Neodiprion lecontei: one gene and its partner. The protein of the gene in region 2 purifies or fractionates together with the protein of the main gene of each other region. This does not show direct contact. Links are inferred from orthologs where the notes say so. Each region holds a gene or a part of one and is shown on either strand. Other genes may lie near its edges. The genes, in order: polycomb protein eed-B and metal-response element-binding transcription factor 2.

What was found.
Region 1: the proteins of metal-response element-binding transcription factor 2 (region 2) and polycomb protein eed-B purify together in Homo sapiens (affinity purification with mass spectrometry; 3 studies listed by BioGRID and IntAct, with this or other methods). This does not show direct contact. The link is inferred for Neodiprion lecontei from reciprocal best matches to the Homo sapiens genes MTF2 and EED.

Annotation. Positions count from the first base shown.
Region 1 is NC_060263.1:6,600,198-6,603,797, forward strand, and holds the start of polycomb protein eed-B, read left to right. Parts: upstream 1-1,081; 5' UTR 1,082-1,334; intron 1,335-1,447; 5' UTR 1,448-1,636; intron 1,637-1,768; 5' UTR 1,769-1,933; intron 1,934-2,041; 5' UTR 2,042-2,182; coding exon 2,183-2,195; intron 2,196-2,422; coding exon 2,423-3,600. UniProt on the Homo sapiens protein: Polycomb group (PcG) protein. Component of the PRC2/EED-EZH2 complex, which methylates 'Lys-9' and 'Lys-27' of histone H3, leading to transcriptional repression of the affected target gene.
Region 2 is NC_060261.1:15,229,339-15,233,490, forward strand, and holds the start of metal-response element-binding transcription factor 2, read right to left. Parts: upstream 2,611-4,152; 5' UTR 2,140-2,610; intron 75-2,139; exon of another isoform or gene 72-74; 5' UTR 61-71; coding exon 1-60. UniProt on the Homo sapiens protein: Polycomb group (PcG) protein that specifically binds histone H3 trimethylated at 'Lys-36' (H3K36me3) and recruits the PRC2 complex, thus enhancing PRC2 H3K27me3 methylation activity.

The DNA of each region.
Region 1 (3,600 bases), on a different chromosome or scaffold from region 2:
GTCGAATGGACGAGTGACAGAACTGGTAAATAATAATCTTTATTGAACATTATTTTATTCCCACCATCTCTGCAAGTATTTTCAAGACTGCAAGGAAAATTATGGAATAATGGTGAACGAAAAGCCACTGAGATTATAATTGGTATATTGAATATAGCTATCATAATAATAACTAAGATATTACATACTTTGAAATGGCAATTATTCCAGATATACTTCATTAATATTTTTTCACCAGGTCTACCCCTCACCTCATTACCATGGGCGCCAAGTGCACACCCTCAAGACGTAGAGAAAAAATTTACATATCTAAACGTTGAAGGACTTCGAGAAGATGCCGGCGATACAACAGGGACCTTCATCTGCGAAATTATTCTCGTGTAGAACAGTTCCTTCTTCTAAAATCATGTAATACTTTTCAGTGCCTATTATCAAACAAAAGTTGTAAAATATCACTTTTTGAAACAATGAAATTTTTATTTGTATAGTGTCGTGTATACAGTAGAACGTCGATTACTCAATTAATTGGAACTGGGTACCGTTTGGATAATCGTAAATTCGGATAACCAATCTGCACTATTCCTTGGGGGCAAGAAAAAACACTCGTTCAAAATTATAGAAATGTCTACACGATAGGTACCGTTCTGTATATTTTCAAGGTGCAGAGGAAGAGTGCAATATTCTCTTTTAGTATGTACAATCAAAATTTCTTTGTGTTCAGACTGGTCGTATTTTTTGTTTTCGACAAATTTATAACATACATATAAGGTATACGAAACTGTTGACAGAAGGCCAGAGAGAGATCTATTGTTGAAATTTATTACTGAGATACGCCGATTTCGCGGAAATTCATTCCCCGGGTTCCGAAGATAAGACTGATCGCATTTCGTTTGAATGCCTCGCTTGGCGATTCCATAAAATTCATTCCGTGTGGTGGAGATTGGTGTTATCGAACTAACCAACCACGTCCAAAGGTAAGGACTGACATGACTCCACCCGAGTTTCGTAGATGTCGCCAAAGGCTGTGACTTGTGAGCCTAACATAGTGTTTACCGTTATGCACTGCCATAGCATCACGTAGGCTTATGTTTATTGCTAATAGCTAAAGCAGTCGGTAGAGAAACAGAGCGAACCCGATCTCTGAAGGCGCAAAAGTGACGAAGTGCTCGTGATAGATTATAACTTATAGGTTAGATTTGTAATATGCAGGACGGATACGATACAACGGTCTATTTCATGGCAGTTGCCGGTGGCAAACGTCGGATGTTTGGTTTCTAATGGCGCAGGTCTTGCGTTATGGATTACGAAAAAATTTCGCGGTCATTTCGTTTTTGGTAAGGCTTTACGCTTTCGTTACTGGTTCTTTTTCTCACTTAAGAAAATTTTTTTAAATACTGACGCACCACAATCATCCCTAACGGAACAACGCACAACTTCAATCTCGCAGATCGTTTCCACCGCCGAATATTGCGAGAAAATATCTCAAGGATTGCTGAATAGTGCATCAGGGAAAAAACAACAAATTCTCATACATCGGTGCGAGTCTGTCGCCGAAGTTATTGCCACTCATAAAAATCTTCACGTCGATTTTATCGTATTTGCAATCGACTCTCGGCTAACGCTATCTTTGAAGGAGGTGGGTATTTAACGACAAAAATTATTTTTTCGTCGTGTATTAATGGTTTTAAGATAGAGAAAAAAACCTGCATCTGTTTTTCGTCATAATCGTAATTACCTATACTTTTTTTTTATTCTCCTATTCATTCAGGTTGAGAAGAATATTCTGCTAGTTGATCAGAGTTTTATATTGTTGAGTAGCACCTGTTTAGTAAATGGTAACAACATATCGTCAAATGCTATGGGTGTGACGCAAGATCAGATTTTGGAAGTTTGCGACAAGTACAATCTTCGGCTTCTCAATTCAAATATTAATGTGAGTTTACGCATTTCAAAATGTCTAAATACTACGCAATGTCGATTTGTCAAATAAAATTAGAAATATTTTAAGAAGGTGAAAAACTGAATACAAATTTTCATTTAGGTACCGGAGGACTGTCTCTATTTAGGTGATCAAATTATCAATTTATCTTGCACAGTTCTCGGTCAGAGAAGCGGATTGCCATTGTTAAACATCCGTGATCAACATACAGCAATGTACATTGTCGATGATTCTGTGGCATAAATGTGCAGTTCAAGTGAGTCACATGTACAAAGTGAAATAATTATTCAAACAAGCTACAAAAAATAATTCCATGAAATTTATCACCACAAAAAACTTCCCAAGACTGGATAAATAATATTTGAATACCATTTTATGTTTCTTACTAAATACTAAAACAGCAAATTGAAACTTTTTGAACTCCTCAATGAGTATCTACCAATTAGTCCGATGTTTGTAATTATTGGATATGTGTACTTTCAGATTATCAACAGACGGAAGATATAATGAAGAAAGCTGGTGCGAAACCTCAGTGCCAGACTTATACTTCGAGTCAAGAAGACACTGACAATGATAGTGACGAAACCGAGTGTAGTATTGGCAGCAATTCGACTGCAGGTACACATCGAAGCGATACTCCGACTCGCAGTGCTCGTTATAAGAAGAAGGGAAGACGGCGAAGTAAAACGGCAAAGAACAAGTCTCTGAATGACAAACCAATGTATAAATACTGTTGTAGTGTCAAGGAAGACCACGGGCAGCCTTTGTTTGGCGCTCAGTTCAATCACCATCTCAAAGAAGGTGAACCAATGATATTTGCATCAGTAGGAAGTAACAGAGTCAGCATTTACGAATGCCCCGAGGGAAACAATATCAGGCTTCGACAATGTTACGCTGATCCTGACAGTGAAGAAAATTTCTACACATGTGTATGGACATACGATGATTCAGGAAAACCATTATTAGCCGTTGCAGGCTCTCGAGGAGTAATTAGAGTAATTAGTACTGTCACTATGACGTGCATTAAGCATTACATTGGTCACGGTCACGCAATTAATGAGCTGAAAATTCATCCGAAGGACCCAAATATCCTTCTTTCAGCTTCGAAGGATCACGCTCTACGTTTATGGAATATTAAGACTGATGTTTGCATAGCAATATTTGGAGGTGTCGAAGGTCACAGGGACGAAGTCTTGAGCGCGGACTTTGATATGATGGGACAACGGATAATATCTTGCGGAATGGATCACGCATTGAAACTTTGGTCCCTCGATAAAGGGGAAATGCTGGATGCTATCAAGCAGTCGTATTACTGCAATCCGACCCGCAACGGGAGACCTTTTGACTCGATTCTGCAACATTTTCCCGACTTTACAACAAGAGATGTGCATCGCAATTATGTGGACTGCGTTAAATGGTACGGAGATTTCATACTTAGTAAATCTTGCGAAAATTGTATCGTATGCTGGAAACCTGGACGTTTAGAAGATACCCAACTTCGTAACGGCGAAACAAGCGCCACTGTACTGCATCGCTTTGAATTCAAGGAATGCGATATATGGTTTATACGATTCTCCATGGATTTCTGGCAAAGGACAATAGCACTTGGTAACCAAGCTGGTCGTACCTATGTGTGGGATCTGGAGGTTGAAGAACCAGGC
Region 2 (4,152 bases):
GAGACGCTGCTCCTTAGTTGTACTATCCGGCACAGCCGGACTCTCCTCTGGCTCCGACATTTTCAACCCGGCTGCTGAAATTGTTGAAATAATTTTTCTCTCACAAATTTATACCACATATACAAAACGTCATGAGTTGATCCCTATCTTTCAAGTTTTAACTGACAAGTGGGCATCGTGATACAAATTTTTCAGGTTTGCAACATACTTACCATCAAAGGCTAATTTCCAAAATGGACAGTGTCGTAAACGCATTAATTCTTAAACGCAGATGTATTACCGAAACTTATGCGATAACCTTTCGAAGATAATCTCTCGAGAATTCTACTGTTCTCATTTTTCTTTCTTTGGTAAATTGATTGCTTTAGCACTGCGATGATGCAGAGTGTTCAGCGACTAGGTGATATGTAAAACTTTGTAACAAATGCAGATATCTCAACTTATGATTTCTGAGTTGCCACAATCATAACTCTGCATCAGGCTCATAGTACAATGTAAGAAACATGCATGTTCACTGTTCCAAGAAAAAGAAATAACCTCTCATTTATCGCCCTGTGATAATTCATTTTCAGTGATACATCAATACTCGCTACTATTTGTATTATGTAATTTACACCCCACTTGTATCACGCATGAATTTCTATTGATAAGTTATGATTCAAGTCGAAACAAAAGATTGTCTTCAAATGTTTTGACGATAAAATTTATAGATCAATGCAGTCTTTTATGACCAGTTGCCCTAGCATAAAAGATAATGTGAAAAGTTTAGCGGCTAATTGAAAAATATTAGAAACTTTCTTGCGATTGCATCGGTTGCCTTTGAATGCATAAATTTTACCATGGTTACAAGGTTCATAGAATAGTTAGTATCAAGACGAACTTTGCTCACAAACGAGATATTATGAATACCCAATCAGTAAGGTAAATAGGCGCATGCAGTTACAATAAGCATACCCGAATGATCAGTGGTAGTGAGACATTTTAAATTCCAGGATTTACAGAGATACGTTTTTCCCTGTTACAAAATAAAGGATTGACGCACACAAGTATGCATATAATTATGAAAAATGTACTTATGTTTGACTTGAATGAAAAATAAATGTTTCTGTGGCAGAGAGAAGGATCAGCATAAAGATATATGTACGCATATATATATACACACATACATACATACATACATATATGTATACGTATATTCGTCTAGATGCTGCAAATTAGGTGTTTGATATACTGACATGTTAAGCTACTATAAAACTAAGTTAGAAAACATTGAATTCAAGTCTAATGACGCGATGATATTGGCGTAAGAAATCTGGTCTTGTGAGTTTAATGAACATCCAATGATGTAGAGCAATTTCCTGTAAGAGGTATGTTGCAACATTTATAGAAATTAAATCCAATGAATGTGAGAGACGAAACCGGCAGGTGGTGGATGAATGTGGATAACATTGAGACATCGCTGGCAGTTGTGTCAGTTCAGTTATATCGATGATCGAGTCAAATGTGTGAAGGTTGAAAAAACATGAAGACAAAAGAGCGGGTACAGAAATGAATCTTTATAGATGGTAAAATCTTTATTGAAAACAATTACAGTATGTGTAAGTACAAAGGTGAAAAGAAATAAATGTATGAAAAGATGATTGAGGGTAAATTTTGGCTGCGCGTTGATAGAATCTGCGGGGGGAATATATTTTCGTTGGAAAACGGTACGAGTGGAAGACCAAAAGATTCGATAAGAAATAGAATAATGAATTTTAGGAAATAGGGATGAAACGAACGAAGGACATAATCAGAACCGAAATAAAATAAAAACAGTCGGATGTCTGGAGGACTTTCAGCCAGTGGGTCAATGCATGCAAGGTTTGAGAAAATCTGATCGAAGTCTCGGGGATTTTGAATGATATTCGAGTCGTCGGAGGACGGGGATAAAGTCGGAAACACGCCCAGGGGGTGCATGGGAGGTCGGTGTGCATCCCCCACAGACCGAATCAATCGTTTCATATAAGATAATCGTAGGACGAAACAACCCCGTGTAAAAAAGAGTAAAGAAGATAGAAGCCTGGGTGAGTTTGAGCGGTGTACTTGTGACATAAAATTGAAAGTTTCGCGATAACCAGCGCGATATTCTGAGGGTCGTACCTTGACGTCTAGGCCGGAATATCAGAGGCGAATGTTATTCTTCATTTTCCATCTCGTCAGCCATTTACAACCATGGGGGCCCCGCCACGGTTGCCCCGACAGACTCGGCCGCGCGCGGCAAAATCCTATTTCATTTAGTCTCCGCACAATCCCCACAGACTCGAATCACCTGTCGTTGTACCGATCGTTTCTTACATCCATTAAGTACGACTCGAGCTACCTCCCGCACTTACAGCTATTCATTTGTGCCGATTATTCGGTCTAATTTCATTCTAGATGTAACAAATTCGAATACATTCCGTCCGCCATGTTTGGGGAAACACTTGCTGGGCTGCTACGCGGGTCAAATCAGCGACCGAATAACCCAACATAAACAATCCTTGCATCGCACTGAAAAAATTCGAGCACTAAAGAACAAGGCCGGGCCGGTTTCGAGATATTTTTTAACCGACCGATCGGTGACCGAGACTTCGTTTCGATCCGACGCTAGTTCGTCAAACCGTGAAGCAGTCCAGTTTCCGCCTGACGGTACACTCACTGCCATAATGCTGTCCGCCTTTCCAATTTGTTTACATTCTGAAAGGTCCTTTAAACTCGTCGATGGGGGTGACAAATTAACCGCTGATCCGGACTCACCGCCGAACGAAATTGTGCCCTACCACCCTTCGACCGATCTACAACATTACGGCTGTATTTACATCGCTATCGGGAAAGACCAGAAGCCGGTCATTTTCGTCACATACTTCGTCGGCGGTCCGGTGGTGCATTCGTAATAACTTCATACCCACTTGCACACACGCCTGATTCTATAACCCGACACCCGGGTTTTATAGTCGTGTCGGGAATTGATCACGCGCACTGAACTCTACAAGCATCATTATGTCTATCGGCAACTGGCCGTTCATGTCTGACCTAAGGAACAATAGGGGGAAAATAATAATCGGGGCACTTGCAATGCAATATTTATATGCCTACGTATACGCGATGTTCGCTGCTGTCACGGGACCGCCAAGCCACAACATGTGACGTAAGAATTACGTGCATTATGTGTACTACGTGACGCACGTTCCTGTATCGCGACAACTGTAATCTTTTTTGCAAATTATAATGCACCGAGATTCAATCGCTTTTCACGCATTGTTTGCGTTCAATGATTTGCCATTTTGAAATCTTTGCACCGATTTCTTCCGCCATTCTTAATTCTTCTCCTTTCTTCTGCTCAGCGATGAAAAATTTCGCTGCATTGTTAATTTGAATATATAACAACAATGGAACGGAATTTATTAAGAGGAGGATAATACAGTTGACAAACGGAAAATATTAGGAAGATTCAATAGCTGTATGCACATGAGAAGGGAATGAAGATTGAGGAATTGACGTAGAAAATAAATATTACATTTTATTGGTGAATTCACTGTTACGGCTATAGATACGTGTTGTACAATTTTATTTTATACAATAAACTAAGCATATCAATGGTGTCTCATATTTCTCACCTTTCGTGCAGACAAACATACACACAAATTATACGTGAGGAAATATTTCAAAGCTTTGATCTCATAATATACACGATATAAAAAGCATTCGTAGGAAATGACTCTCAACACCGATGGTCTCAAAACGTTATTAGTGACAATCGTAATATGTCTATCAGGTATCGGCCGATGAATCAGTTACGAGCATCCGCCAAGTTCACTGCTATTTATAAAATATATACATTATTTATACATATACACATTTCTACATGAAGGATTTTGCAGCGTATATAATAACGAGGTCGAAGGTATAGGTAACGTTAAAGCAATGAAAAGTTGAAAGAAAGATTATTATTTTGCAACTTCAGAGTAACTTTCAAGGAATTAAGTTCGCGATATATGGGTATATGGCAATATTGTTAACGGTGTATTATGATTTACTGAATTTCAGACAATTCGAGATTTTCTGAAACTGCATCGTTACAATGACGTGACGTCTTTCAACCTCATTTGTAATTTCCAATTAACGTTTTCGTTT